Neodiprion lecontei: one gene and its partner. The protein of the gene in region 1 purifies or fractionates together with the protein of each later gene. This does not show direct contact. Links are inferred from orthologs where the notes say so. Each region holds a gene or a part of one and is shown on either strand. Other genes may lie near its edges.

What was found.
Region 2: the proteins of E3 ubiquitin-protein ligase Nedd-4 (region 1) and lipopolysaccharide-induced tumor necrosis factor-alpha factor homolog purify together in Homo sapiens (affinity purification with western blotting; 3 studies listed by BioGRID and IntAct, counting the BioPlex papers as one, with this or other methods). This does not show direct contact. The link is inferred for Neodiprion lecontei from reciprocal best matches to the Homo sapiens genes NEDD4L and LITAF.

What each region holds. Positions count from the first base shown.
Region 1 is NC_060266.1:25,978,320-25,993,622, reverse strand, and holds E3 ubiquitin-protein ligase Nedd-4, read right to left. Parts: upstream 8,397-15,303; coding exon 8,220-8,396; exon of another isoform or gene 8,175-8,219; intron 8,041-8,174; exon of another isoform or gene 7,485-8,040; intron 7,351-7,484; exon of another isoform or gene 6,999-7,350; coding exon of another isoform or gene 6,948-6,998; intron 6,935-6,947; exon of another isoform or gene 6,673-6,934; intron 6,574-6,672; coding exon 6,373-6,573; intron 6,271-6,372; coding exon 6,110-6,270; intron 5,898-6,109; coding exon 5,714-5,897; intron 5,522-5,713; coding exon 5,403-5,521; intron 5,288-5,402; coding exon 5,152-5,287; intron 4,923-5,151; coding exon 4,773-4,922; intron 4,510-4,772; coding exon 4,459-4,509; intron 4,367-4,458; coding exon 4,045-4,366; intron 3,956-4,044; coding exon 3,897-3,955; intron 3,778-3,896; coding exon 3,712-3,777; intron 3,616-3,711; coding exon 3,386-3,615; intron 3,324-3,385; coding exon 3,202-3,323; intron 3,112-3,201; coding exon 2,472-3,111; intron 2,379-2,471; coding exon 2,276-2,378; 3' UTR 71-2,275; downstream 1-70. Other genes in the region: enhancer of mRNA-decapping protein 3, read right to left, coding at 11,126-11,719, 11,802-12,062, 12,168-12,313, 12,432-12,682, 12,768-12,925; mitochondrial import inner membrane translocase subunit Tim10, read left to right, coding at 14,651-14,944. UniProt on the Homo sapiens protein: E3 ubiquitin-protein ligase that mediates the polyubiquitination of lysine and cysteine residues on target proteins and is thereby implicated in the regulation of various signaling pathways including autophagy, innate immunity or DNA repair.
Region 2 is NC_060260.1:37,751,208-37,769,077, forward strand, and holds lipopolysaccharide-induced tumor necrosis factor-alpha factor homolog, read left to right. Parts: upstream 1-5,900; 5' UTR 5,901-6,038; exon of another isoform or gene 6,039-6,091; intron 6,092-8,012; 5' UTR 8,013-8,015; coding exon 8,016-8,178; intron 8,179-8,515; coding exon 8,516-8,816; intron 8,817-8,977; coding exon 8,978-9,080; 3' UTR 9,081-11,023; downstream 11,024-17,870. Other genes in the region: kinesin-like protein costa, read right to left, coding at 2,477-5,008; muskelin, read left to right, coding at 12,025-12,113, 12,352-12,421, 12,541-12,683, 12,774-12,978, 13,083-13,130, 13,300-13,492, 13,590-13,825, 13,895-14,175 and 5 more.

The DNA of each region.
Region 1 (15,303 bases):
GTGTATCCTCTCGCGTTTAACAACATTGTGGATAATCAGCGAGATACGTACCCATTGTACACCGTTCTTCTCTTCTCAGTAAAGTTTATTCAAGTATGCTTCATTCCTTCGTACAATATTATACAAGAACGATATTTATAGTATGTATATACATATACCATATGTATACATATATCTAAACTTAAAGTCGGTTATGGTATAGCAAGTTAATTATGCTCCAATTCGCGTGTTTTCTATACTTAAAACGTCACCATATTATTTTAATAACAGTAAATAGTAACATAATAATTTACCTACATAATATTGTATTATGTATACATGTATAATCGATTAGTTATTTATATATATACATATATATACACATATATATATATATATATATATATTATTTTATTTATTTTTTTGCTTTTTCTTGCGTCTTTAAGAAGGTGCTCTGTAAAAAAAAAAAAAAAAAAAAAAACTCTAGTCCTAACTAATCGTACAATAATAGTTATTATTATAATAATAATTTCAATTAGAAGTATGGGTATGTGTACCATACAACGCCGAACGCTCGTTTCATTGCATACATATACATATGTACAATAATTCGATGGTATTTTGATCGCCGTTTCTGTTTTTTCTCACGTGTCGCAAAAAGTGCGCCAATTCCAACTATTGCCATTCAGATGCAAAAGAGGGATAAAAATAAAAATAAAACGTTCAGAACGAATCAGCGTTCGTTGCACCGAATGAATAATATCGTACAGGTTTACGCGGTTGATATCTTTCACGGGTCTCGCCGTCGACGATTATAATTCATATATGACTTGATAAAGATTGTGTTCAGCAGAAATGCTTTTTTATTCTTTTTACCTTTTCCGTAGGCAGAAAATATAATTTTATATATCAAAGCTCACCCGAAATACTCAACGCGAGAACGAACGCGCTCAACAGCCAATCTTAAGCGTCCGGGCTACATATTTTTTTTTCGTTCAACCGTTGCTAATTTTCTCAGGGTTGACCATTGATTGATCGATTGATTGAATAATTATATTAAAGGCACTTGGACCTTTTTTCACAAATTCTTAAAAATAATATGTATACTCTGAAAATTGATAAACGTTTTCTTTTTTTTTTTACTCCCATGCAAGCGACAAGATCGACGCTCACATTCTGCGCATAATTTTCGTTGAACTCGTCGCGAATAGGACGGAAATATAATCACTGATCAGTAATATACAATAATACATACAGGTAGGGCTACGTTTTGTTGGTACATAGATTCGATTTTCATTTTTAATTTGTTATTACTTAGAAAAAATGAAAAAAGTAAATCTGAATTTTTAGACCCAAACGGGCTTGGTGTGTTATTCAAAGGAATCATTTTGATTTTCAGCTACGCGTACTTGAAAGGTTTTCCGTTTCTTTTTAACGTGTTTCACTACTATCACCATAGATTGACTGACAGCGGAACAGAAAAAAAAAGGCCCACACGCCAGATATGAAACGTTCTATTGAAGTGTAATCTTTTTTTTGTCAGAGCGTGGGCCAATTAATAAGAATCTTGCATATAGAATTAGAATCGCTATGGTATTCTCTCTGTCATTCTCTTCGTACAATAAAAATAAATGTATTGAATGCCGAATTTTCGACATCAATACGCCACAAAGGTATCGTCTATGTGGGTATAATGAGTAATGGAATATCTATACATATAATTCGGATTTCTAATAATGAAGATCCGTAATACAGCTACAGAAACAAGTGAACTCTGTGGAATGACGTAATTTCGTTACACTCAAAACGGAATTTTATTTTAGTTATAAAAACGCTATTCTCTTTGTCAGACGACTTTCGCCACAGCGATCAAGTACAAAGCAATTAGCAGTAGCAGGCTTTAAGTAGAATGTTACTATTGAAACTTAACGTTTTCAGCGATAAAAAGAAAAAGAAAAGAAAAGTATTCGAACTGTGCCCGATGACGTACGCGTGACGTTACTTTGTCTTTCAAGTTTGTCGAATTTCTACGCGGTAGGTTTCAACACGTTTGGTATGGTATTTGTACCAATCATGGCGTGACGGTGAAACCGGGTCACGGCTGAGGCATCGCATACAGTTAACAGTTATATAGCTTGGATATTAATTGGTATTATTATAATAACTAAACGTAGATACATACACACGTGCACTGCCTCTCATTCATTCCCACATACATTATAATATATACACGCACTATAGTACAGTCAATATCGGTGATGGAACCGCAGTTAAGCGCCGCAGGAGAACACCCGCGCTAATCGACTCCAGCAAATCCTTGCGAACCCTCGATCGCCTTCACCAACTTGTCCCTAAGCTGTTGATAACTCTCGTACGGTGGCAGATCTATCCGATTGAAGCTGTAGAAGAAAAAAGAAAAAAAAACGAATTAAAACATATCTGAAAAACAGATATAAATATTCGAGATAGTGGGCGTAAGCCGACCATCTTACCACGTGTGAGCTCTCGGATAGTTTTCAGGGGTCCCCCATTTTTCTATGGTGAACAACTGGGGGCCATTACTGCCGTAAAGTTCCTTAAATCCATTCATAGGAACACGCGACGTTCCCGTGACAAACTGTAGAAGTCTGGCGCGCATTTCGTTGCTGAATGATAGAACCACCCGCCAAAACCACTGCACGGTTATATGATTAGCGTGATAATCGCCTTTGTAAAGCGTATTCTGTTTCCAGTCCTTAACGTCGATGTGCTGTATACCGCACATAAGGAGCTCCAGTTCGTGTTCGTCGAATATTTTAACGAGTGTCAACGGAACAAGTGCGTTGAATCCCTCGAGAAAGGAATTCATCTGTTCCTGGACTCGGGACACGAACCTCCATTGTATAACCGAACTTATGTACTCATCTTTGTTCTCGTCAGTCAACGGTATGTTTGCGCCGTTTGGTTTTAACTCTCGTTGAGACGTGTGACCAAAGCTTTCCTCGTCCACGCAAAAAGTAAGTTCCAACTCGCTTGGATCGTTCTCCTTTATCCAGAGCAAGGAATTATAGTATTCTGAGTCGACACTCTCCATGTCCTTAAGGTCGATAGTTTTGCTCAGCATCATCTTATAAAAGGGTCGGATGAAGAAAGCTTGAAGGAAGTGTAAGTGTTAAAAAATTTCTGCTTTACCAAACTGGGAATGATTGAATGAGTAATTAAGTAGCGACCTGCCATAATTACCATCTAAAAGTTTTCCGTGATAAACAGCCATCCCCGCAACGCGTCCTATGAATTTAAAATAGTTAAGATGCTCCTCGTTGCAAACTCCGGAGAACGGATTAATTTGTAGAGTATAATTGTCCCTATAACGAGAGATCAACAAGTTAACAAAAGACAGATAATGCGTCAACTCGCGATAACTTACATGGCGGAATATTCGAAAAGACCATAGTAAGGGTTGAACATTTCTTTCGATAGTAGAAAGAACCATTCTCGGGCAAGTCCACCATAGTCCAGACCGACCTCGCCTTCGAATTCCACCCACAACTTAGTCTTCAGGATCTCTAATCTAATTACGGAGCTAATGATGCGGTAAGAGTCCTCAAGGATGTTCGTCCTCCTCACTTTGATCTCGAATTTATTAGGCACGTTGTTCTATGAACAAGCAAGTCCAAAGTTACATCGAGATTGTCCAAAACTAAAAACAATTCATCAATTTAGAATGAACCAAGTAATTTTTGATGCACTCACTGGTTTTCTCAGCTGTGACTTCAGGTACTCGTATTTACGCTTGTAGTCCCTGGAGTACGGAACTGCCTGTAATTCAGGTATAATGTTCGCGAGATTAGTTTCTATACTTGCCCGATTATTACAATCAAATCGGAATAAAACAGATAAGATAAGCTTCAGCGTCATAGAAATAAATGATAACTTACAGGTCCAGCTATCTGAGGATTAGACATTCGCGGATCCTCCCATTGAGTGGTTCTTGTATCTGAAACAAAGTAATTTACATCAGTGTACATAATTATCATCTTGCTCAAAGGTTATCCAGCTATCGGCAATTTGAGTAAAACGGCTCACTGTGATCAATGAAGAATATGCGACCATCCGTATGCACTCTTTCCTCCCATCCTTCGGGCAATGGTCCTAACTGGTCTAAATCACTCCTTGGTGTTGCTGACGGAGCATTGTGACTCGGCATAGGACTGGCGCGCCCCGTTCTTGGGTCTACCCACGTCGTAGCTCGTTCATTGTGATCTATAAAAAACATTCTACCATTTGGTGCCAATTGCATACTCCATCCAGAAGGCAACCCGTCGCCATTCGGTGTCTGAGAAGCAGCCGCTGCCGGTGGAGCTATAGCTGTGGCCGGGGAAGCCGCTGGTATTACTGGACCATCAATCTGGATAAAAAAAATTGACAGAGAGATACAGAATACCTATGTTAAATATATTGAAAATTGGGATATCCATATGTACGGAGAAACAAGTATACCTGTTCCGAGGATCGCCTGGAACCATTCGGGCTATCAGCAGCTTCCTCACTCTGGGAACAAAAATTGCAGAGCATGATGAAATACCACCATCGAGAAAAAAAAGGCTGGCGTTGCTCGCAGAAAAAACAACGGCATGTATGTTTAAATACACAGGGATGTGAGGCCACAATATACTGGCAATTTTTTTATTTAAAATTGCGATATATATTGATATTGTTAAGCATTAGAAGTGATTGAAAGAAGGCAGCTGATAATCGGATATTTGCACAAAGAAAGCAAATGTGTAATATGGTTCGAAGTGAACGATGAATACCTGATCATCAGATTCGCCCAGGTAGCCGTGCTGATCGACTGAACGACCGGAATCCGATGAAGCATCCCCAACCACCCTTTCCCCTTGTTCCCCACCTTCGTCATTCTTGTCTTCCGCATGCTCGTCCTCCTCTCGAGGGACATCACCATCCTTATACACACATGCACAATTTGCTACACACCGCATGCTGCGTTTATACAACCCCTCACCACAGTTTTATTTGAACTTTATTTTTATAATTTTAGAAGTACTAATGTTAATAACAAACCATTGTAAGGTAGGATGACAACGAGGTTGTTATACTGTATAGCAAGTTGCTAATTCTATCAGGCAAAATTATTGGCAAAAGAAAAAGGTGAGTTGCACTTTGTGTTCTCACCTGATGAAGGCCAGAGCTTCGGTTATGCCTATTTTCTGCATCATCAACACTGATGTGAAAGCGTCTCTGGAACTCGGTTGCTGCGGTATCTAGATTTCGTTGCTCCTGTGTTACACCACCCGTTGGTGCTTGATTTCTGGAAAATAACCATAATCGATTGTCTGTAAGAACGGCAGTTACAGAAGAAGTTTACGATGACATGTATGAGGGGTTTGTAAAGAGTTGATGAATTCATACAGAACTTCACTTACAGGACTGTCGGCCGTTCCCATTGCGTGAATCTAGCTATGTGATTGACATAGTACGTTCTCCCGTTCGCGTCCTGTCTTTCTTCCCATCCAGGCGGCAGAGGCCCATTGACCATTATTGTCTGTAAATCAAAATTGATGAAGTCTAAGAATATGAGCATTGAAATATCACAGTTATTTCTCATTGTTAAAGAATTTCCCGTGCCCAGGTCGATCTTATATTCGATCGCTGTTCTCAATTCAAAATTTTGTGTTCATTTACTTGTAGAGTAACTGAAAGACTGTACTTTGTAGAAAAAATTAGGTAAACCAACCGGAGCAGCTTGTTCTACAGGACTATCATTAGACGTTGAAACGGGCTGGTCCAACAGTTCCCAACCACCGGAGTCAGGCGCAGTTTCACCTTCGCCATTGCTGCTCTCCCCTGTTGAGTCCGAAATGTATGCGTGGTACACTTCCAGCGTGCCTTTAACGCGCGACCGTTGACTGGAATGATTGCTAAGCCACGTCGTCGATCATTAATTATTTTTATCATCGCACAATTCTTGGTAAAAGATCAAGAAACAACATGGATAACATATTATAATATGTATCATACTCTGAAAACGGTGGTTCATGTGGATGTTGAATATAATTTGCATCTACCATTAGATAATATGATTGATGTGAGATAATCGTACCGAAACAAACATCTACAGCCAGCTACTCACCTACGTGGTCTAAGTATATATTGCTTGGCAGGAATGACGCGTCCTTCTTGTTCCTTGGGTAGATTGATTAAAGTCAGCTCAACCATTCCGAGAAAATCATCTCTGGTCAATCTGTTTTCGTCAAATACTTGGAGAATGAGTTTGTGCTCGGCTGGTTTGACCTTTGCAACAGCAAGATGCACAATTAATCGTCATTGCATTATCAATTTGACGTTAGATTATAATTTATCAGACACAACAGAAGGTGGTTACAGCAAACTCACCCTGAATATGAATTCTTCCTCCCAAACTGGGTTCAAGGTCTTTTTCTTAGTCTTGGTGAGCACTGAGTTGACGTTCCCATCTCCATTGATCTTGTTCAAATCAACTCGGACGTAAGGATCGCTCGCACCGAATATGTCCTTTTTGGCCAGTTGATGACCAGCTATAACCTTGAGCCTCAGCTTATTCGTTGCCTCCTCGTCCTAGGTACAGAAAGATAATAACAGGACGACCTTGCTGCGTTAGAATCGACTGAATTATCGGTAGATATTAGAGGAGGGTGACGCGACAAGGATACATACAATAATTGGAAGAGACCAGTGTAGAGAGAAACAGAGGGCGATAGAGAGAAAGAGAAAGAGAAAAGGGAAATATCACAAGTTCCCGGAAACCACCGACCCACTCTCTGGAGCGTAACGTTTGACGCGATTGAGCCGACAAGGATATTTTCCGACGATATTTCGTGCGACGGCAGGTAGACCCTGAAAGCCCTGGACACCTCGGATTTCGAAGATCGTGAAAGAACCCAACCTAGACCACTTGTCAGGGGAACTGTCAAATATCGTGTAGGACTCACCCCGTCGACGCCGGTCGTCGGATTGTATCCGTAAACATGTTCCTCTGCCATTAACAACACGTGGAATAAAAACGTTCGCGAATCGCCAGAAAAACGATCGTTTTCTATTTATTACGAATTACTATAATTTATTATCTGCCATCAAGAAGTCTGTTCTCGTATTACCCCCACTTTCTAAGTTGCCGTTCAGACGGCCGTTTCAAGTGCTGCCAACTTCGGATAATCAAAGTAACACGGAAGCTTTGTTCCGTCATGATCCGCCTTTCTGATCCCCCGCGAAACTTACGAATGGTCGTGCACACGGTACTTCGATGATTCCCATTGCCGCTCAATTCTCATTCATCAATTTTCATATTATCGACAATCTGGCGTATACCAGAAATTTTCCCATTTCTTTTTAACGCACTTTCATATCATGCGCAACAGATTTTGGCCCGTCTACAGTGCGCAGCAGGTACACGTACACTCAAATACGTACACTTGCGCCTTCGGTGACCGTGATTACCATCCGTGAGTGTCGCTGCACGTGTGTTTGTACGTACAATACAACATTCGAGGTCATCCGCGGGAATTACCTTTAATCTTATCAAAACGCAGAAGAAGCACCGTAAACTAATAACATCGACTAATATTTTCCCCTAGTGTCTGTGTACCTCAAGTTAGAAAATATAAGTATGGGTGTCAAAAATGGTTTGAAAAAAAAAAATGCAGTCGCATAATTTTTCTAAAACGTTTAGTAAAAAAAAGTTTGATATTCCCTTAACGCCGCACCCAGTCTCAATTGTAGTGATATCAGTGAAATCACGTGATTTACGGTAAAGTTGGTTGGTCGAGCGAATTGGCATACGACAAATCGAATGGTATAACCAACCGGAACAGCTATATGTGTACATAATACATACATATACATCCAATAAATTCAGTTACTTTTATTATTTCATACGAAGCGAGACACGGGTTGCGGTTTTAAATGTCGAAGATCACAGTACAATGTGCGATTCGTATCATTTACGTACGAACAAGCGAATCGCCAGTGAAAAACACCATTGACTCATAGAATTCTCACTTTGCGTATATTTATAATCTGGCTCACGTAGGTATATAGCATTTAAATATGTATGTATACATATACAGAGGCATGTTGTCCCACCACGCATACAAATGTAATACAATGTAGGTTATATATGATGCTACGGAGTTTCCTTATTGGGACACGTATCCTTACAGGACGTAGCGACAAGGGAGGGAAGAAGAAAAAGAGAGTTTCCTCACCGTGGTTGTGGGCTGGACGGAAAGGGAGAGCCTTCCAGCTCGGGATGCGAGAGTTTCCTGCGCGCTCGCCGAGGATCGACGTCGTCCTACCCATGTGCTGGTCCATGTGTTTGCTCGTCTTCTAGGAGGCGGTGGTTCGATCCCGGCGTAGATCGGGTACGTCAAGGTAGCCGGCATCTTCGAGAAGGTATCCGCAAACCGAATCGCAACGCGTCGAAGGACAGAAATGATCTATGGATCGACTAGGTGCCCAGGCTGGTGGCTGCAGCTTTTCCGTTCATAACTCGACTTAAACTTTGTATGCAATTGGTGTTCGGTTTCCTCTATTTTCTTTCTTCTCTCGAAGTATTAGACACGCTCCTGCAACGTATTTTATTATTATACGTACACCGTACGTTGTACGTGCCGAATAGAGATGCATAGAGGCGAGAATTACGGGCGTTATACGTTGCGTTGGGAGGATCGGGGTCCCGGATCACAGCGGTGGTGGATGTAGCCGATTAAAGTTAATTAGCGCGCACAATTACGTATATCGAACAACAAAATTTGACGATTTTTACATATTTTTACATTATAGGTATATACAAATACTTTTCTTCCCGCACCTTCGTTAAGAGCCACTCGTCGGCGTTACTTTTAGACTAGTTTCTTTATTCGTTTTGACACACACCACACACAAGCAGCAACTGTGAGAAATGGCTATACATATATATGCATACAGACAACGCGTTCTGCCAATATTAGCCAAGCTCGCCCCGCAAAATAAAGAAGCAAAAGCAAGTGGTGCTGTTTATCAAAACGATCAAGCGATCACCTTGTTGATCGTTATCAGCTAGCACACGCGGTTTAATCGCGATGTTACATAGAGAAAATTAACGAGAAAGAAATTACTCGTTCTTTGTTCGTTTAGCCGTACCCCACACGATCTCAACTTAATCAGCGCATTATTCTTCGCACACACACAACACCTACGCAATGCGCACGCGATATACTTGTTCCTCCTTGAGTTTAAGTTTCAAACTATTTCGCCAGGGCAACGAGGTGCAAAAATTTAAGGCAAGTATTCCGATCCGTAACGTTAAACGTGAAATTAAATGAATTGTCGCGGAAAACGTAATTCCCGAAAGTACCAAAACTTTCGAAGATAGATAAGAATGAGACAGCATCAGAGCTGCTTTAAATCAACGTCTGATAACACCGTCGTGCGCGACTCATGGACGACAGAGTCAAGAGATATGCACAGATATTACACGGGCGCGTATTGCGAGTAATGATAAGTGTATACAACATACATGATACGTTATATGCGCGTGAGCGTAAGCGTTAATACACTCCGCGTCGAGACGGTATTGAGGATTTTCTTAACACAGAAGTATTATGATAATTAATGACAAATTCACGAATTTTTTTTTCTTCCTTTTTTTCCCCCTTGTTCTCTCTTTGTTTTCCACGTACACGCGCGACTACGTAACGTACCGTGCTTTCCAGGTCACGCCTGACTGCGACAAGACGCGAATCGACCTAGGCCCAAGTAGAGAAAATTATGAACTACGTAATTGATATATGCAGTAATTTATTCTATAGTAGTTTCATTTACGCATTCACGCTGCGTCGCGGGCCGCCGACTTCCTGCGCGTAAACGAAAATGCCGATTATTATTGGCCGGCTGCAACCGCGGAACGTTATTATGCATATGACAGTAAATTGATACAGCGAAACTGTAAGGTGTTAATAGATTATAAGATACAATTACTGCTGCATTCTTGATCTTCTATTGTACAATTTTACATCATGTATATATGTTAATAATAAGAATAGTCATCGTCGTAATAATATGGCTATACAATAGTACACAATCATCAACTTATGGTAGACCGTTGACAGAATCATCAACACTCGGTACTTACCCAGCACCTCTCTCTCGATATACAACTATGTATAAAATATAAATAAATTAATTAATATGATAATTACAATTTAAGCAAGTTTCAATCCATATATATATATATATATGAACTGGACGTGATTCAAGTTTATAATTTTTTTAAATAGGAGCACGGAACGAATAACAATTTGCACATTTCTTGACGCTGCAAGGCGTGAGCCAAACAATATATAAATTTCATTTTGCAACGTACAGGTTTTTTCCACCCTGTTATTAGTTTCTAACAACTTCGACAAACTAATCAGCAATGGTCGCTGAAACTATAACAGCTGTGGCCCACGATTAGATGCTATCAAAATTAAAAAAAAAAAAAAAATAATACAAACAAGCTAATAGTTATGGATACTAGCTAACGGTATACAGTAGAACCCCGATTAACTGGGATTGGTTTAACCGGGGAGCGAATTAACCGTGACCCTCTGGAGCGCCTCCGAGCTTCGCGTGAGTAACCGGGTATTAGCGGTTGTCTTGGAAAGGGATTGGACTTGTGAAAATACCCTTAGTTCACAGACTGCATCACATGCTCGGCAGTCACTATTGAATCGATCGAAAATTACTAATAATTCGGATTAACCGTGATTTCACTTATTCGTGGATTCTTCGGTCTTGAGCAGCCCAATTAATCGAGGTTCCACTGTACTCGTAATTACAAAAGTCACGTGAGACAAATTCGCTCCTAAAAAAGAGCGTATGACAAAATTAAGAAACGGACAGTAGTCCAATGTCGATTTAATTAACACACCGCGTAAATAACAAACACGCGTACGGAACACGCGACAATCGCGGGCGTTGATATTTAGATACATATTAAACTAGTTTGATGATAAAAACTGGATAATTAATTATTTTGTTCGAGTAATTAATAATCCGTGGGTCGTTGATTTCAGTTCGCATAATGGCAGATTTAGAGAAGCCGATTCTAAGGTACCTTCACGGAAGTGATGAACGTCATAGGAATCTGCTAGGAGCTGTTGGAATGAAGTGGAATAACGAATTTCGGTCCGAACGGTGATCTGTAAGTGATACCAACGTCCGAAAATACTTTAGCAGGTAGGGCCAAATTGCAAAGATACAATCTTCCGTTATCCGCGCTATGGGACAGGGGCAATCCACCAAGGAGACTGAATTTTGTCATAATTCCTGGAGTCCCAGCTGACGGGGGTTCAATTGCAAGAACTGGTGCTCTATTGCTGTTCGCCCATGTTGCAACGGGAGCAACTGTCCTTGGCGAGCCTTCCTCGCCAAGAGCAAGGAGAATGAGATCAGCTACTGCGGGAAGATTCTTGTACCGAGTTTCAACCCTGTTTCCCGATAGCTTGTACAACGACAATTCCTGCAGCAGGAAGACGTCTTCCGAATTTTCAACGTACACGACAGTCTTCACCCCGTGACTTGACAATTGGCGAGCGCAATTGACACCCGCAGCTCCTGACCTGTGGGGTCCACACAGGGCGACTACCGTTGGCCATTGGTGCGCATTGTTCGGGTTTAGTCTATGCCCACCACCCAATAGCTGTAGAATTATTTCCGCTCCTGCACGACCCAGTAACTCGACCTAAAAATTTTGCAGAGAACAATAAAGAACGGAATAGTTTGGATGAAAGTGGTTTTTAGGCCTGTCAAGTTTCTCTACTTACCCTGCGATCCCAGCTAATACCTAGTCTATCAGCAGCACCGATTAATTGACGATGGAGATCGACCGTTATGCTAGGAATTACTAATCCATCGTCAGTTACATATTCCCGGATACCAGCAGACGGCACTGCAATTTGTCTGAATGCTGTAGGTTCGGATTCTATTACGTTTTCATCGTGACGATATTTTGGTACACTTCCTCTGGTGTTTTCAGACTGACGAACGATGTCTGGCTTCAAGGAATTTATTTCTTGCCACACAGCCTGTAATAGTTTTATTTAACTAATTAATTGTTGTATAGCGCTGTAAGTGGTGTGGGAAAAGGTATGAAAAGTACAGACATCAGATTTATGAAATGCCATAATTACCTCCTTATTGAACAGTGCTAAATTTTTCTCAAAATCAAAGTCCTGCTCCATCGACTGATCTATGGGTGTTCCAAAGGCTTGTTCATCTTTCTCCTGCCATCTTTGTCGTTGCGAACTCCTTTTCTGGTTTTTTGTGCTTATCTCGCCTGGAAATAACAGTTCGGAATTGTAATTTTACTTAAGTATATCCCACAATCTTTTACACTACGATATATCAACTGACAAACGTTAAAATTTTACTACCGAAAGTGCAGGAAATCCTACCTAGATATATTTTTCCATTAGCAGCAGGCTCTGGGTGTGACTGCATAGAATCAAGCGGTTTCCGCGCATTAGATTGCTGTTGAATATCGGAATTAGGAAGTACCAAAGGTGGAATGCATTCAGAAACGGATCTACCAGCTCGTTTTGCAATGGGTCGCCTCACCGTGACTTTGCTCGAAGTCTGAACTTCATCACGGCAATCCTCAGCTTCCTCTGTTGAGATTATTTCTATATGAAGTATGTCCTTGGCACTATAAGGGAATAAAATTAGAATTAAATAATGTAAAAGATATTGTCGTTAACACCTAATCATCACCGATATGATCTAAAACTTACGACAGAACAACTTGCGGAGAGGGGTAAGGTACCCCGTTTCGAAAAGCCTTTGTCAAAGTGACGGTTTGGCCGTTAAGGTCGACAATTTGGCCTTGGTAAGTGCCAAGTGACTCATCGCACTTGACCGACACGGTACACCCTAGGAATTGCGTGGACATTGTATTGTTCTGAAATTGAAAAGGAAGATGAAGAGTGTTGCAGCAGTGTCTGTACGGGAAGTCAAGTAAATATCAGGTATGAAACTGTTTCAAAATGATTCAATGCTTGAAATACATTGAAAATACCATAACGGGTTTCGCAACCCCCTATGAGGAGCAAAAAACGAACTTTAGCAGACTTTGTATTCAACTGTAACCCGGTAAATGCTAATATAATATGTACGAACATCTATGCAGGGTGGATATACCTATTGATATATTATGCTTCGGACTAGAAATAGACGTTTTCGGCTTCCAAGTGCTGGAATACCCAGCCACCCTTTCGACCTGGAGAAGAAAACAATGGTTCTCTGCTTTTCTAGCGACAGGATATCCACCAATACGTAAGCAAAGTCTAGCCGCGCCGAGCTGATGTGATGTAGAGGTAGGTTAGAGCACGTTTATTACATTACCATTTATCCTCTCTTTGCATTTACCTTACGACTGAACTGCTCTACTGCACATCTTACGCGGTCCAGAGGACGCCACTCGACGGCTCGGCGCGTCGTATTTCATCGCACGGGGCACGATGCACGCCCTCCTTGCACATTCGTTGAATAGGATAGTTCGGATGAACGACATTGTCTCGCGTATCGCATACCGGGATGGGCGATCTTAGTAGAAAATAAACACCGGCATCGTGTTTGAATTCTTTATCATCGAACTAGCGATGTTCTTCTGAAAACATCGAAACATGGATTGTTAACACGTCGATGGTGAAAACAAGCGCGAATATTTTAAATGATTCTAGCTACAATGGTAAAAAGGAAAATGAACGCGAAAATTTTTAACTTTCATTATAATTAAAAATAAGTATTAAGTATGAGAATTCAATATAAATTAAATTAAGTATGCAAAAGTAAAATAATTAAATATACAGATTAATAGTGAAACATTTGGTAGAGAACACAGACTTATTATAAAACTTAGTAATGTGTGTTCCGTGTTTATAAATAAGTTACCGAGAATTGTTTGCTCACAAATTTAATTTATTCCCGACTTGACGACGTCGACAATTCAGTATTTTCCATCGACTATCGATGTATCGACGTTAAAAAACACCGATCAAAAACGTCGATGCTCCCGTAAAAAAACATCGATAGTCGAAACATCGATGTATATCCCCCATTCCTATCGCATGCGCTGCATGCATGCGCCATGCCAGCAGGGTGCTGTTTCATTCAGGGATCATCACGGATTCCGACATGGCCTTATCGAAGACGGCAAAAGTCGGCATTGGATGGTAGGTATGTAAATGGACGAATAAGTAACAGTGTAGGTACGTTGCATGCACTTTCGTAAAAGGCAGACAGAAATATGTGCCATTTGCAGAATCGCATCATATTTCATATCAAATTTTTTCAATCTTTGTATTGGATTATACAACATAACCCGTTTAGTACGCATGCATGTAAGCAGCTTTCTTTCGCGGCAGCTATCATTGGTGAACGATCATGTCATCTCCAATTTTCCTCGTGACAGACCATAAAATATAGTTTTTTTTTTCCAGGACATTCGCCGTATTTGGAGGGTTGTACGCTTTTGTCTTGTCCAAACGATCCATAGAACGGAATCGCTATGAAATGATGAAAGCGAGGGAACGTGTACGAAACTCCAACTTTGAATAGACTGACGGAAAAGTTTGTCGAGGCCTGAGCAAAGTTTAGTTTATTATATATTGTAAACATGGCTGGTCTACCGCAGCTTGACGAAGAGAAGCTCAAATTAGTCCAGGATCTAGAAATAGAGATGATGACGGACATGTACAATCGCATGACGTCTGCCTGCCATAGGAAATGCATTCCGCCAAAGTACTCTGAGGCAGAGCTCGGCAAGGGTGAATCAGTTTGCTTGGATCGATGCATCGCCAAGTACTTGGACGTCCACGAGAAAATCGGCAAGATGCTCACCCAGATGACTATGCAGGATGCGGACTCTTTACTAAAGCCGAAAGAAATAGAACAGACTAAAACGGGATGAAGTTAAATGACTTCTATATTGTTACCTAGTTAGTTGTTTAAATCCTAAGTAGTTTCCATAATAGTGTGACATATAAAATCAAAATATATTTATGATGTCAAGTCTATCTGTTTCGCTAGTTTAATTTTGAATTTTCTACAATTTCTACACCATAAGCAGGACTTTCTTCAAATTCTTCCAAGTCCGTGTACTATCATCTAGAAGAAACTATGCTTTGCTCTGCAACTTGTGTTTCTATCCGATTTAATAAATAAGAATTCAATTAATTATCCGTTACTGGATTATACTGTTAATTTGTATTTCTTTGACATTCAACTGCAATTAAACTTGATGATAAAATTAACGTGTCTGATTATGGT
Region 2 (17,870 bases), on another chromosome or scaffold:
CCTCGAATGGAGAGACACGCGATTAAAATGAACCGTTTAAGATCGGATTATTTACGATCTGATATCAGGCCTTCGTCTAATGGTCCTCTATAACACACAGTGCGTATGATATGTGATATCCGGAGTAGGATTATAATATCCATTAAACGTGTAGACCGAGGCGCAAATTTGGCGGGATCGTTAATTATCGTTTTATTAACATCGGATTCAGTTATGCGATTAAAATCGAAAAATTCATTCGACGATTTCGTCATACGTTAGTTTGATTATTCCACAAATTGGCTACACTGCATCAATCCTTACACTCCAACTGCGCAGCGGTTTATACAACTATCTTGGATTTCCGTTATATTACCTTCAGATAGTCATGGTGTACAGTTTAAGGTTAAAAAATTTCTGGCACATCTGTATAAGACCACTCCGGCCTGGGATGAACTTGTTGTGCAACGCACGGTGATGATCGACGCGTTGTAATATGCAGCGAACTTCGTCGTTCAGGCGAATCGATTGCTGAATAATCTACGCAACTGTTTCATCGCGCTACTTCCCTCAAATCTTACTGTCAAATCACAGAATTCTTATGCAGGCGAACTAGCTGTCTTTACTCGACGCGCTAGAATGAACTCGAATTATTGACGCTGTGGAAAATCTGCAGCCCATACATTATTCCGCATTATATTGTGCAGCGTTCATCTTCTATATATTCGTATAATCGATCGCATAAGCGACATGTTCAAGTCGAAGCCATCCGATATCCGTGAATACATTGATCCACATAGTCCACGGATGATGGATTTGATTCACCAGTCAAATAATAGTGCTCATTTCGAATTATATCGCGCGATGACTCGATGCTTTTTTTATTAAAAGCATATTATTATGATGATAGGAATTAATAAGCTGCAGAAAAATTGTCCTACATTCATTCGTCGCCATATTTCGTGTGACCTAAGCCTAATATCGTAGCAAAAATGATTTAAACTCACCAAATGATGATTGAGACGGTGACTGAAAATTTGAATTTGATAACTGATGCATTGTGGGTTCTATTTACACAACAGCCTCCACCAATCGACGGGCTTTACAAGTCACACAAGAATCTGTGTGACATTTTTGCCATCGGTAAAAAGGGCTTAGATCACGATCAACTGTAGGTAACAGTTTAAAGCGTGTTACCGTCGATAACAAGGTAGAAAATGTACCAGACTTATTGTTAAATGTGCACGATTATCGTTACAAGTTTCTTCTTCTGTTTATGGTATACAAACGTTAAAGATTAAATTAATATAAATTTATTTACAAAAAAAATTACAATAAATAAGTTAAATACATTGGTTCAGGTGTCGTGGATATGCTGCTCGTGGAGTGGCGATTACATTTCGTATAAATGTACATTATAAATATTTTTCGAAAATATATCTTAGATCATATTTTAAACTCACTAAGGGTATTGAGAATTATATACTAAATTTTTTTTTTGTTTTAACCGGGTTCTAATTTGAATTGAATAACAATTAATATTGCATTGGATTAACAACGTATTTCAACCGGATAAACGATCAAATTAAACGATTTTTGTACAGAGAATTTCATAAAAAATTCTACGTTAATAATGATAATCAATATGTCAAACGACATAATATATGCACGTTTTATTACTTGTACGTGTCGCAAACTATTATCCTATGTTGTGATTATTGATTGCCTTCTGCAACGTTTATTATGTATAATATGTAGACTAAAATTTTTCAAGTTCTAAATTTTGTTATACAACATTCAGGCAGTTTACTACACTTACTGTAGTACGTACTTTCAATCTTAATTATTACAATAGTATTTGATAGTAATGCAATTTTCAATTTTACGATTAGTATTAATTAGTTGTGTAATAGATGTGAGGCGAATTTTCATTATTTGTATCAAATAATTAAATAAACAGAATAAAAACTTCCTATTTTTTGGATCGGACTGTCAATGGTATTATACCAAATTGTGAAAGCATATTGCAAGAGTTTTCAAAGCCAAAGAATACCATTTCTTCACATTCAAATTGTCAACTTATAAACGATTATTCACTTAGTTTGATACTAGGCCGCTACAATTAGAACACTTACATTTGTTTCACAGCTGCATTATACAAAATTAATTCTAATTCGCTTACTTTAAATCGTGATAATTTCTATGCTTTACTTTACTTGCTATACTCAGAGTACTGCAAATTATCAAACTTTTTGAGCAAAATTGATTCCCGTTAATATTGTAAGGGAAAAATAAAAACAGCGCGAAATCTTTTTCCTTGTTCATAAAAACATAATAGAAAAACGAGGAAAGAAAAATAATTAAATCTAAACCGATTACTATGAGTATCACATATGTTGTATTAACTGTACCTATAATACCTGTTTGCTAAATTGTAGCCTTAGTTTTTGATTCAGATGTTTGTTCGTTTATTTTCTCAAATGATTTTGGCAGTCTTTTATTTGTGCCTCTTATCGGTATCGATTGTCTTCTGTATGATAAGCTTATTTCTCTGCCTGGTGACTTTAGTCGTAGGCTGTGTGCTGGGGGCTATCTGCTTCAAACCTTGCTGAGGTATTTTGGCAGGACTAGCGGCTCGCGGATGAGTAGATCCTTTTAGAAGACCCTCGACGTCGGCAAGCCTCCGTCTCAAGCTTCTGTTCTCCCTCTTACATCTAGCCAACTCTGAGTCCTTGTCGAGCCTGTCATGACCTGAGCTGCTAGTTTCTTCGGCGAAATGCCGGAACATCAGATGCAGCTTTTCTTCGTGTTCTCTTTGCATCAAAACGATCCTTCTCTCCGCTTCCAGCTTCGTTTGTTTCAGGGCGTTAGTCAGTGTCTGGATTCTCCACTCTTGGGTTTCTGCGTGAGCCTCTAGCTCCGCGGCCTGGATCTCCAAATTCTTTGAACTTTCTTTCAAGTCGATCACTTTGAGAAAGTATTTGTAAAACAGAGTTCTCATCTCACCGTCCGACAGCTTCATCAATCTTTCCATCAGCATTTGCTCACCTTTTTCCCTCTTCACTTGATTCTCGTCGAAACACTTCCTGCCGCATATCATTTCGTTTTTATGCTCAATCATTGCGTCAATAGCCTCTATCGTTTCCCCACATTCAAGCAGTTTTCTCTCCTCTACTATCGTCAGTGTTTTTTCTTTCTGTAACTTTTCATCCAGATCGCACTTCTCATCCACTAGACAGTCCCTGGTCCTCCTAAGATTTCTTATCTCGTGCCTCAGGGCTTCTTTCTCATCCGTATCAGCCGTTCTCTCCAGATCCATTGATTTCTCTTTCAAAACATGGTCCAGATGTGAAATTCTTGCGCTCACTTCAAGCAGGTTTTTTTTCTTATCGGAACAATCGTTTTGCGACTTTGAATTCTTTCTGTCATCTTCACTTTCGGACTGTATTTCTTTTAATTTTGAAGCTGTTAAGTTGTACTTCTCCTCCAATTCTCTTATCTTTCTCTGATCCTGGACTAGCTCATTTTCCAGCTGCTTTTTGTGCTCGTCTTCTTTTTTCAGCTGTCTCTTCAACTTCTCCATTTGCTTCTTAGACGAATTTAACGAACTCTCAAGCTCCAACACTTTCTTTGCAGAATCGCCAGCAATCTGTTTTATCATCTCAATATCCATCAATCGTTTCTCATAGTGAATTGCCATGTGTTTGTATAATTCAATTTCCTTCTTATGCGCTGATTTATCCTCGGTATCTTTGTACAACGAGGCATTTTCTGCTTGAGCAAGTTGCGTCCTAGTGTTATAATACTCCTCTTCAAGCTTGCTTCGTTTTCTCTGAAACTTTTGTTTGGCGCTTGCTCTAGCTTCGGAATTCTTTATCATATCAGCTATGAACTGTTCCTTTATTTGTATCGTATTCTGAAGTTCTTCTATGCGTTTATGCGCCCCTTCCAAATCCGACTGAATTTTTTTCACCTGCGTTTGCTTCGCCTCGTTTGTGAGGGTCAAATTTTTCAACACTTTGATCGGCTCTGGATCTTGATCAGAATTTTTAATCGTCTCGATCAACAAGTCCGGAGAATGTGTTTCTTTCTGTATTTTAACGACGTTAACGTTGTTGTCAAGTCTAAAATCAACTTCTCGATTTTCCAGCGTATTAGCAGCAATGAGTGCTGACAATTGGTGGTTAAAATTAGTATCTTGACACTGTTTGTATCCACCGTTGAATGCCAGTACTCCATTGCACATATCTGAACCCGGGAGCATTGAGTTTCTCCTGGAACTAGGATTTCTGATAGGAGTTGGCTTAACTATTGGCAAATAGTCGTTACCGTTATTCAGAGATTCTGCGGCAGAGGTATCAATGATAATATCCATTTTTCTGAACTCATCTTTTTTCGAATCAATGACATTGTCCGTATCGTTTTTAAACTTATTCATCAGCTCGTCAAGCTTGTCCAGAAAATCCGGATTCTCAGAACTTATGTCGCTTTCCTCTTCGGACAAATCCTCCGTCTCGGAATTGCAGCTACTGTCAGACTCGTTCCTGAACTCTCCACACGTCGCAGACTCGTCTGTTTTTTCATCGGTTTCAGTCACTTCTTCTATTCTCTCCAAAGACCTTCTGGTAACATCTGCGAACCCCTGTAAACTCGCCGTGTCGTCGCTGGCTATGCATTCCTCGTACTCCTGCTTCATGCAGAGCCATTGCTCTATCTGATCCTGTTCGGTATGGGGCAATATGTTGCTGGTCACAAGTTTATTGAACAAACCTTCCGCGTTTGAGACCAACTTGGACCATTGAGTAGCCGCAAATTCGAGCCTGAATAAGTCTGCACTGGAACTTCGCTCTCCGGATGTCCCAACCTCGATGTCCGGTGTTTCCTGAATCTCCTCGACCGTGTGCTTGAGCTCCTCGTCCTGCTGTTCCCTGGGATGTCTGAAAGCCTGTACTTCCTCGATGTACTGATTGTAGCATTGCCGATTGTCCAGGATTCCCTGATGATGAATCCATGGACCGTAATGCATCATATCGAACAGCTTCTGGGGTTGGTAAGGTCAGAATGGACTGAACTTTACAATCAACGTTCGTGACCCCGTTTAAGAGATTCCTATAACATTAAAACGAAAAATAAATATTGAATCCATTGTAGCCGTGTCAACGATATTGCATACTTGGCGTGTAAAAACGGGTAAAATTTCAAGTAACAAACTCATTAATTATAGCAATACAAAACGTTTGCTGTGTTGGAACGTTCTTCTAATGATTAATCTGAGACACTGATATAATGAAAATGAAGAAAAACTTACAGGTTTAGCGATACCCATGTGTCTGATTTAACGGTTTAGAAATATCTCTGTGGGTTTTTCAAATTCAACGCACGTTTACTGGACACGGTCGAGTTTGCACTGGTATGAAGTAAATCATTTTCGATGGAAACCGCAGATCGTAAACCCGAGCCACGTTGGGGGTTAAATTTACCGTGGAAAATAGAATTGCAAGATCAAAATCTGGTTGTCGTGATTAAAGAGAGTCATAAAAATCTATTCGCTATATGTCGGAATGACGAAGTAAATCCACGGGTAAATCAATAATATTTACTACAGGCAGAGCCTGCCTGTTTTTTCGTGTATAGGTGTACCGTATATTGCCGTATATTACGTTTTCATCTTGTTGGTACACTTGGTGATTCTCGTTCTATCACAGAGAGAGCTGTTCTATCCCGTCTAATTTCTGAATTGCGTAGGGTTGGTAGCGCCGCAGACAGTCAGTCATCAACCAATCAGAATCGTTGTAAAGATGTGTCGAAAGGGCTGAAGCTGGCAACAAATGGACCGCGTGCCGCTGCGTGAGTCACCGAGTGTCGACTGAAGTTGTGCGAAGTTGTCGCATGGACGTTGCGAGAGATGTGTTAACTGTAATTGCGAATGTGAGCTGTGCACGTGTGTGTATAGAGATCCGTGAATGCTCTGTGGTTAAAGCGATGACCTAACGAAATTTCCCATCGAGTAGAATCGGAGTGATTTTATTTCTGATTGACAAACGTAGCTGCGGATTTACGTAAGTCACAACATACTACACAGTTGAGAGTACAAGCAATACGCAATCTATACGTAAGTAATATGAAACGCAAGTATGCCTAAACTCGATCACAACGAACTCTCGCAATCGAAATTATGTATTTTGATCTCGCGACGAAAAAATGATTCTTCAGATCCAAATATCACCTGCAAAATAGCTCGAGCTAGTTGCAAACCTGGCTAAAGTCGGGAAAAACCAAAGAGAATAACAACATGTTTTAAAAATATTTGACACATGTGTAAATCAAAAATAACGATAAATCAAATCGACAATTCGATTGATTTTTTATTTTTCTTTCTGATTATGTATAGTTCTCACAATTTTGTGATCAATATTTCATCCCTAACAAACTAATGGCAAGAATAACCTGATCGTTATTTTATCTTCATCGAATACGTAGGACCTTAAAAACACCGGATTGTAAAATTTATCGGTACGTATAAAGCATTGTCGTTTACGATCTGCTGCACAGCTCAGGTGGAAGGATGCACATGCAACAAGAAGGATGTGTGAATACTATAGAGAACAGTGATGTGTGCATATTTGCATATTTTACAGGCACGCATCAGTGACATTATTAGCTGCGTGCTCACGCAATTTTCATGGAGCCAGAACGTTGTTTCGCTGCATGTTTCTCATAGATGCGATCGGGAGAGCATCGAGAGTACGCGAAGCTCTACTGTTATATCTATGGTTAAACCACATTAATCTGATGCAACGTGTTCCTGGTATAATAACGATCAGGTGATTCGGTAGTGCCGTAATTTCCACATTCGTAGGCATTTTTATACTTACTAATCAAACAGACCGTCACTTATACGATCTCATTTCAAAATTCAATGGCCGAAACACAAAGAAGATAATTTTATCTACAGAATTTTCATATTTTACAATATGTTCCTTGTTGACTCATGCTGAATTTAATCATATTCAAGGAAAAGATATTTTTAATAAGAAAAAAATTCTTTGAAATATACGCCTTTGCTGACGAATAAGTATTATTAAAATTAATCATGATTTGCTATTTTTACATTGCTTGAAATGCAGAGAGCATAAATTACATTTAAAAACTACATATAGTGATTATTTTTTTTCATTTCAACCTTGTTCTCAATAGGCGTAAAAAAATGGTATCTTAGTAATACTGTGTAATCTTTGACTCAAATTGAAGGTTTGAAGGTGAAGATTGCATTACGAAAGCAAACCGAAAGCACTTCTTCAACTTTTTAGTGTATAAGTATTTGTATACACAGAATTCTTTCCTCACAATTTCTAACGACTTTCTATTCACACTGGCTCATTCATGAATATTCATGACAAATAGTGTGTTATGTACGAACCATATAAGCAAACTATAAACTTAACAGTAATAATGAATTTTGTTACGTATCAAGAAACGAATTTAAATTAAGGGCAGTTTGTGAATGACTGCTGAATATATGAGGTTGAAGTAAGTAATGTTAACGTTACAAAACATCAAGAAGCAAATCATTATTTTTCCATTTTAGAATCACTTTCAAAAAGTTGGCTTTTTTTTGTTTGATATAGTATAGTTTATTAAATTTCGGACAATTCTAATGGTGCAATTAAAATTCTTTCCTAAACATGCGTTAATTGACTTCCACCACACCTGAATACCCGTTTAAATACATACAAAGTAGAAACACCTGTTTCAAACCCCATAAAATTGAAGTAACAAACGTTTAAATTGATTCTAAATTTGTAAAATTGAGATTTCAAAACTTATTCTTTCATTCTAGATTTGAAAGGAATAGTGATGACAACGGCCAATAATTGAGATTCTTAGATCATTACCGACATGCATAACTATCTAATATGCTCATAGTATAAAGGCAGAAAAAAAAAACAATACATGCATAAAATTATATAACATTACAAAAATTATATGGTATGCAACTGCAGTCAAAAAGATAACCACTACCTTGTTTACAGAAAATGGAGAAGAACCACCTAATGGGAAGTGGATTTCCACCACCAACTGCTCCGCCCTCGTATGACGAAGCTGTTGCCAATACTGCGGCAGGTCCTCGCCTTTATCCTCCACCTTCTTCTGCTCCGTACCCAACAGTCGACACAGCGATGCCAATGCCTGGATCTTGTATGTTTCCACATTATACAATAGTTTCAGTCTTCTCAATTTAGCTTATTTCACTTTTCAAGCTAGTGAAACTTGTTCCATACTTGAATAGTACGAGTTTTTAATTTGATGACATATCTAATACGAAAATTTTAATAAACATACCTTAAGTAATGCCTGAATTAAAAAGAGAAAAAGACTATGAATGATATATGATTGTGAATGATGTACGTTTATATCGATAGACAGCATTAGAACTTTTGGCATAAGAAAAATTCTCACAACACTTGTACTGAACAACGATGAAGCTAAAAAATGTTCAACATCAATGATGCACTGCTACATTGTTTTTTTGCAGATAATCCTCCGCCAGCAGCCATGCCAATGCCGATGCCAATGCCAACGCCAGAGACACAAAGCCAACCTCAATCATTTCAGCCACGACCTGCCGCTCCCTATCCTCAACAGCAAAACACAGCTCCACAGTCTTACGCGACACCTGCTCAAATACAAGTTGTGCAACAAACAGTTGCTTATGCAGTTGGACCAAACCCACTAAAAATGGTGTGTCCTAATTGTCGGGCGGATATAAAAACAACCACGGTATCGGAAACTCAAGCGAACGCTCACATTTGTTGCATAATTTTATGTTTACTCGGGTAAGTTTTGGACATTTTAACTGTGTAAGAGTTACAGTTGCTGACCATATCCTGTATATTATTCACGTTTAATGCTGCCCCTCAAAACTGAGCTCGCTTTATGAATTTTCGTCAGTTTGATGCAATGATTTATTTACCAAAGCTGATTTGTTACATTTCAGGTGTTGCTTGTGTTCATGGTTGCCATATTGCAGTAATGCCTTTGTGAATGTTCACCATTCGTGTCCCAATTGTAAGGCTTACATCGGAACGTATAAGGCTTGAATTTTGTGATTGTCACAATAGTCAAGTTTAACCTTGAAGTAATGGAGTAATTATTCTACAGTTACAGATCGAGGTGAAACCTTGGTCGTTTTTGACTAGGACGAAAATGTTCTCTTCTTTACATATTCGTATATATTAAACATTCACTCACAGACGCAAATATTTTTTTTTTTTATACAAATTCTATGAGAGATAGATGAAACGTATAATTTTATGATCCCAATTATTTCTACAATTGCTTACCCTTTCAATGAATGTTTGTAGAATTCTTGAAAAACGTTCAGTTTATGCGAAACACATTCCGTTGATTCTGAAACATTCTTACTTCATTGCCATGGGGAATATTAACAGGTTGATTGATTTGATCTGAGCTTTCCTTGTATACATAAATCCTCGTCGCTAAGAATTGAGAGTCAAGAGAAAAGAGTGTTATTGACATCTCATATGCCCTATACTCACTATTATTACTGGACATTAGGTTTCTTGATGTAGTCGTACTGAAAAGAGTGGTGGTTCACTGTACAGGAACACAGAATTTTTGCATTCTGGTAGCTCATTACGTTTCACTATGTGCATAAAATCAAACTCATATGATACTACTTCCATTCTTTATAATTCTTACTTTTTTTTTTCATATGTCAAGTAAATGTGATTATCTTGTTTTATAATATTGCACATAAATATAGTATAGTAAAACAATATTATAAAACAAGATAATCATATATATATATATATATATATATATATATATATATCAAAAAAGTATTAGTATTCGAAGAACACCGTATTTTCGTTAAGACCGAACAATTCATGCTTAGGTAAATATAAAGAAAGTAACCATTGAAAATGTACGACTTTTGCTTTGCTCTGCTAGTTCATAGGTTTTGCACTAGATACTTGGTTGTGAAACATTTACAGGCTTTTTTGAAAATAAGAGATTGGTAAATAATATACCTGTATTACGATGTTGGTTGATAATATGGTGTTTGTTGACGTACTTGCAAATTGTCGCACCATACGTGATACGTTACGCGAAGATCTGATTACAAAAAAATATTTATCTCTTGACAGCATCTGTTCAGCTCACGGAAATATTTCCACCTCAAATTAAGCCTCCGCCAGCAAACATAGACGATATCGTCCATCCTGACCTTCTCACTTATCGCTGTCTCGGGAATTTTTCATTGTTTAACAATTTCTATTCATTAACTATTTGAAAATTTCGTAATGTAAACTATTGGAATATCAAGTAGGCACCTGAAACTGATTACCTGAATCTTTTGCAAACTTTTGAAAATCTCTAAGTGAAGGGAAAAAGAACTCGTGTGACGAAATCGTTGATATTGACTGACGACATCAGTAAAATAACACATGACCGGCGGAGGGTTAACGAGTCAGATAGAAGTGTGAAAATCACATGCGTGTTTAGTCGAAAATTATTCAAAGGGCTGTGAGAAATTGAATATTTAGAGAGGAAGGTACGACGTGGTCTGTGTACCCTGCTGTTATTTTTCAAAGAAACCTTTATTAAACATAAGTTTTATATTTTTATATTATGCCTTTTTCATTGTTTGTATTCAAAAAGTTTGACAAAAAATATTTCAAATTATTAAATTGGATACGAATATCTAAATTGCTTGAAATTAGAAAGTAAGTACGTATGTATACATATATAATTTGAAGATAAAGAAAAAAAAAACTACCCAATTTGGTCTGAGTTTAATTTTTATTAAACAACAAGCCATTGTATCTACGTTATCATCAGTTTTCCATTCATGATTTTCGACTTCCTTGATCAATTGTGTAAGTTTTTATTTTTCTACTTCAAACGAGATATGTAACTAAGTGTTCAATGCTAGATATATAAGTCTGCATCAATAGGTGAAAATTTACTTCGTTAAGATAAAAAAAAAAAAAATCAGACATACGAATAATACTGTAAAGTATAAGTTAGACCAACCTTTGATAGTGCGTTGAAATTACTTGCAGTTTAGTAATAATAATCACGCCAACATTTATTATCGACCATGAGAGATTAATAAAATATTATTATTCATATTGTTTACTACCCACATGTAAGCTCTAACTAAAACTGTGACACAATTATTGCGCTAATCATTCTGTTCACGTTTCAATTAAGCATTAACGGTTTGGTCCTCAATTCAGGACAGAATTGACGTGCTAAGAAAAGGGTGTACCAAATGATGAAAACGTATTTTATATACAATTAATGATAAGAAGATATGACCTAGACTGACTGAAAGTCTAGTAAATCGATGATATTGTCTGATGATTGCGATACGAAAGAGAAGGGAATAAATGAACAAATTACACGATCGTAATAGTTGGGGAATATCTGTAATAACAATATTTATTGTCTGTACACGGCCAATGGGGTATTGGAAATACCTGATTTTTGTGTATAATCGGTAGGTGTACATAATCGTCATCTTGTTAAATAAATGAATATATTATTTAATATAATATTAATTCTTCAGTCGCAATGTCTTGACTAAATCATTCCCTCCAAATTATTTCTATATTTCAAACTCATCCAGTTTTATTTCTTGTTTTTTTTTTTATTCTTACATGTTTCGCATTTGCTTTCGAATTTACTAATGAAACTTGATACGAATACGCAAAATGGGGTCACGAAACAGTGTCAGTAGGTACGAAAATTCAGAGCTGACACAGAGAAATGAAAGCAGTCAATAACGATCCGTTGCGACGCATTTAATTTTGACCTTAGAATAGAAACAAATTTTCGACTATCAGTTGCTGATTGCGGCCAAATCATTGAGTGATTCAAAAATATTTAAAACGTTTCATCGGTGATCGCCGTAGTGCCGCGCTACACATGCGGATGTAATAAATACATTCATAGATATCTGACTTATGTATAAATTTCGGAACTTCGAAAAGGTTATGTCACTCGTGCAGCAATATGGCGGCGTGTGAGAGTGAAGATTTTCACAAGGTTTTGGAGTATAGAATTTTCAAATGCTCCAGCTACTCGTCGACCTATGTACCTGAGTAAGTATTTAAATTATCGACTCCTTTGAATCAGATAGAATCGTCGTGTGTCATCGAGCTGGCATCTGCCCACGACACGTAGAAATTTTACTACGCGTTCTTAACCTCAAACGAAAGCATTTTCTGTCAAGGACAACGCGTTCGGTTTCACTTAAACGAGGCTATTCACGGTCTCAAGGCCGAGCGGCGCGTGCAGGGTGAATAAACGGTTCATTGACCTTATTTCCCATATTTTCAGGAATATTCTCGTAGACGTACCGTCGGATCAATCCTCTCGCTGGTCCTCTGACAATGACAATCATCCTCAGGTATTACGTGCAGTGTGATAACGATGATTTACTTTCTCTATTATGCAATCTTAGCTTGATTTAAACCTACACCCTTAGCTCTTTGTAACACGAATTTCTTTACTCTTCTCCTGTTGCAGTTTCTCATTCTCAAACTCCAACATCAGTCCATCGTCAAAACTATCACGTTTGGTAAATATGAAAAAACTCATGTTTGTAACATCAAGAAATTCAAAGTTTTTGGTGGACTTGAACCGGAGAATATGATGGAGCTACTAGAAAGGTGAGATGCTTCCTTCAAGCATATTTCAATTAGACAACAAACGATTCTGTTTTACCTAAACTCGTCTTTCACGTCTCGTTTTCCTTGCAGTGGTTTGAAAAATGACTCTACACCAGAAACATTCGACCTCAAACATGTGGTCGGGAATGACGAGAACTATTTTCCGATTAAGTACCTGAAAATTCTTCCCCTGCAATCCTGGGGCCCCAGTTTTAACTTTTCTATCTGGCATGTTCACCTCGCGGGAGTCGATGACCAGAAACTTGTCAAAAGCAGCATTGAATGTTTTAACTCTGTATGTATTTCGCTTTTCACTTTTTTAAGACATCCTAGAACATTTTGTCAGATGCATTCAGCTAATTTAGGTACCTAAGTTAAAGTACAACTTTCCAGTAATAGCAGGTTAGACAGCAGCATAATACCAACGTTTTTATTCCACTAAACAAGGTGACTATGAAACCTTAACCGTAGATGTCCTTTAACTATAACGGAGTATTGATTAAGCATAGTAATTTTCTAAAATTTGCTCATTTTAAAAATTATTGTCAAAGATTCACATTGTTTACCCTCATCTGGCTTCTTGTTGCTTTAATTTATTTGTAACTAATTATTGTAGTACCGTCAGAAAGAGGTGTTACGACTGTGTATGAAACATTTTCGCCGCTTGGAATATCCGGAAATTGTCAATACTCTTCAAAGAGTTACTGGGGTGAGTCTTGAGGATTCCAGACTGTCAACACTGTATGATATATTGGTAACCAAGGGGGATCACTGCCAGGCAGAAAGATTCATTAGCAACGCTGTAAACAGTAAGTTTCTGGTATTTATCAAGGTTATTCAAAAAGCAATATTTAATTAAAAAATTTCATCCTTCATCCATGAAAACTTGGTCATTTTTCGATTCAGTGGGACTTTTCAATGAGTATATAAATGCTCAGGCTTACCGAGCTATATGGACAAAAATATTTTCCAAGGATCCAAAACCTGGAATGAGGGGTGGGCATCAAATGGTTTTGGACCCATCGGCGGAAATGTTGTATCTGTTCGGTGGCTGGGATGGAAATCAGGATTTGGCTGACCTTTGGACCTATAATGTATCAACTGACAAGTGGCATCTTATTTGCAAAGACACAGAAGCAGTGGTTAGTCAATGATCACGGTCTTGCGATATCAGGTTGTAGGATCTGCAACTAACATAAGCTATATTTCAGGGTGGTCCTACCGCCCGGTCTTGTCACAAAATGTGTTTGGACCCAGAAAGGCGTCAGTTGTTCACTCTGGGACGGTATTTAGACACTCAATATCGCTCGCCAGAAAATCTGAAGAGCGATTTTTACGTTTATGATATTGAGTCTGATAAATGGACACAGATATCTGAAGATACCGGAGCCGTCGGTGGTCCTCAATTGATTTTCGACCACCAAATGTCAATGGACGTCGCTAAGAGAACTATCTATATTTTCGGTGGACGTGTTCTTGTGCCATCGCATGTGTGAGTAAAACTTATATTGAAAGTGAAAATGAAAATTTTGGCTCAGATTAAATAAATTCCAATCAATTTTTCAATCTATCTTATCACTCTGCTTCCTTTAGGATTGAGGATAACCATGGAGTTACACCAAACGTGACAGAACCAGTATTTTCTGGATTGTATTCGTACCATGTGCCAACTGGGACCTGGAGTAGGCTCGCTTGTGATATTGCGAGACCCAGTCCGCCTAATATACCAACAATTAGGTCCAGAGTTGGACATTCCATGCTATTTCATCCGGTATGTCACTTCTTGTTCGTTGGATGTTGTGCTCCTTAATCTTCGATAATACGCATCTAATTCATATGCCCAAAATAAATAAACTCGTAGCTACTTGTCAAACAATGTAATTGGTAATAAGTGGCTCTATCATTTATAATAATGTAAAAAAATTTCTAGGAATTCAGAAAACTATACATATTTGCGGGACAGAGGAGTAAAGAGTATCTAAACGATTTTTTTACCTTCGAAGTAGACACCGAGACTTTGGAACACATCAATCTCAGTGACTTGGGAAACCGGGATTCAAATCATGTTCCCGCGGCTGGTTTTACCCAGAGGGCTACTATTGATCCTGAACTTGGCGAGATTTACGTTTTATCTGTAAATACGTAACAATGTTCTTTTTCTTTATGGCTCATCAATTGGTTTCAGCTATTGGTGATTACTTAATATTAAGAATCAACATAAAACCTCAGCGCTCACAGATGACTCTTACTTACAGGGTCTGAGCAAAGACAAAGAGAAGAGAGACGACAATGTTCAAAATTCTCTTTGGGTCTACAATATTAAAGAGAACCGATGGTCTTGCATATATCGTAATGAAAACGTTGGTGACAAGTATTGGAATAGTATGCAGGATTACGAGCCTTGTCCTAGATTTGCCCACCAGCTTGTGTACGATCATATTCAAAAGGTGAGCCACGCTGATTAAAATAGTCAAGGTGAACTCTGATTGCTTTCAGCTTTGACCGTTACTATTTCATTACGTTTCATATGCCGCAGGTCCATTATTTATTTGGAGGAAATCCGGGGCGCTCTTGTCTGCCAAAATTGAGGCTGGATGATTTTTGGCAGCTGGAACTCTGTAGACCCTCTCATGAGCAGATTTTGAGGAAATGCAAGCTGATAATAAGGAAGCACAAATTCGAAGAATTGGCTATGAAAAATAGCATCGAGGCTCTCGAGTACCTGCAGACACAAGTATACGAAATCATCGATCATGCCGATCCGGAGCAAACCAAAGAGGTATAAATCGTGTTTTAGACATAATTTAGACGTTAAAAACGTCAACTATCGGCTATCTCGTTTTTTTTTTCTATTTTGCAAAATATTAAGCTTAATATAGTAGTGATATTTGTTGTATCGTAGTTTCAGTTACTGGCTTCAGTTCTTTTCCGAGAGCAAGAAAGAAGCATGGATAACAGTTTAGATCTGGATCCAGCATCCAGCACTAGTTCCAGTGATCGAATTAATTCAGTGGTGCCAAAGAATTTTACGATGCACGACATCCACGCTCGCCGTACGGAATTGTTTGACAAACTTACCGAATTTTTTCCTGAAAGTTTAACTCAGCCGCGAGCAAATCTTATAGACCTTTTGCCATTGTGATATTTTTAACATGGTTAACGTACTTAAAAGTTATACTAATTTCGCGATTTTTTTTCCAATCACACACCAAAATCATACTTAGCCTATGTTTTCTTTATTGTATGTATAATTCAACAGCAACAAATAACAGACTGTTAGTCTTTTCGTTTAACAGGTATAATATCAAAGTCACGTGTTATTTATAATATTTTATTTTCATATTTAGCTCGTATAATTTCGTTTCAATATTACTACCGTGTATAAAAAATTACGACCAGTTGTAGTTCAGTTCATCATTATTTTTATACATACGGACAGCGATAATGATAACGTTTGATAGATTCGTTTCTGCAAGTAGTTTTGAAATAATGCCAATAGTCGTACTTTTTTTGATTATTTTTCATGAAGACTGTAATATTACATTTTATACGATTGTTTGTATCATTATATTTAACTTTAGAAATTTGGTTTAACTCTCTTTATTTATCAACTGTATCATCCTGTTATTCATCTCCGGTTTTACAATTGATTGAACTGTACGAAAAAAATTTTTTTTTCGAAGCCCGTACCTTTTCTCGCAATCAGTCAACGTTAATTTGCCATTCTACTTTATATTTTACCTTGTATTCGGTGTATTCGTTATTTTTAAAATGCATTGAGGAAAATACCCCAGTTTTTTTTTTTTCATTTTTGTCAGATTACATTAAATGAAACTTGGACCATTCACATGTTTGAAGGCAATTTTATTTTTACTTTCAATAGATTTTTATTTTTACAATTGCGAATTATTATTGTTGTTAATACTTGTTTACTTTTATCATTTTGTTCGCAACCTAAAATCTCTGTGAATTTCCGATTTACATGCTTGTAATACTGAAACTATAACTATATAGCAATTATTTGCCTCTCTGCTCTTTGCGAATTGTTATTCGTAATACTTGCTTAAACCTGAAGTTCATAATACAATGATCTACAACTGATAATATATATTGTCTAGATGCGTATTTATATAAAAAAGTTCTAAATTTACTTTAAATATTTAAGTGTACAGTGGTTTTATTATTGAAAATGATCTTAAGCTTCCGCTTGCCATAGTAATGAGTTGTTAATAGACTATTATGAATAAGCTCTAATAATAATAAAATAACAAAAATACAAATAATTAATATTTTATATTGCGTAGCTTTGTAAATATTTTTCATTAAGTTTTCTGTCGATATCGATTCTCTGTAATGTAACTGACATAATTTATACAATAATACATATACATATTATATATGTGTTTGTATATGATCACAATCTAACGATTATAAGATAACGTTAATGTGTATACAAACGTTAAATTTTTGGCATAATAACGCACTTTGGCATACTAGATAATCATACATCGAAATCTGTTACATGTCTCATCCAGATATTTCGTACTTTGAAAGGAGTAAAGCGAAAAATTGAATCTTTCATTATCCACCACGTGGCTAGATTGGTGGTTTTTTTTTTACACCTCCAAGCTACGACACATTATTTTTATGTAAATGTGTGTTGTCTATTAAACTTATCCATCGCTGTTCAATAGTAGCGCGAAGTAATTATTCACAATTGCATGGATTATACATGTAACGTAATTTCTACTTTTCCACAATTTGAAATGTTGAGAATTTATTCTATACTATTTGGGGGCATAACAAATGCATCAAATAGTGGAATATTTTTTAGGAAGTGGAATGTCTCAAGTCCAATTAATTAATACTTCATGGCCAAAAACATATTCATTTCCACAGATATGCTAATTTCGCACCTAAACAAACCATAATACTTAGGTGCTGTAACACACCTAAGCTTGAATGTTTCCTAGAATGAACGCGATTTCTTTTTTTAAAAATATAATGCTAGTTATGCGATGAGATCAACTGAAAAACGATCTGCGTATTGAATGGTGCATTGGAATATATATATATATATATATATATATATATATATATATATCTTAATACAATCTTAATACATAAAAGTTTCTCCATTTCACACAATATGCATGTTCTATTTGCACACGTAATAATGAAAGTGTG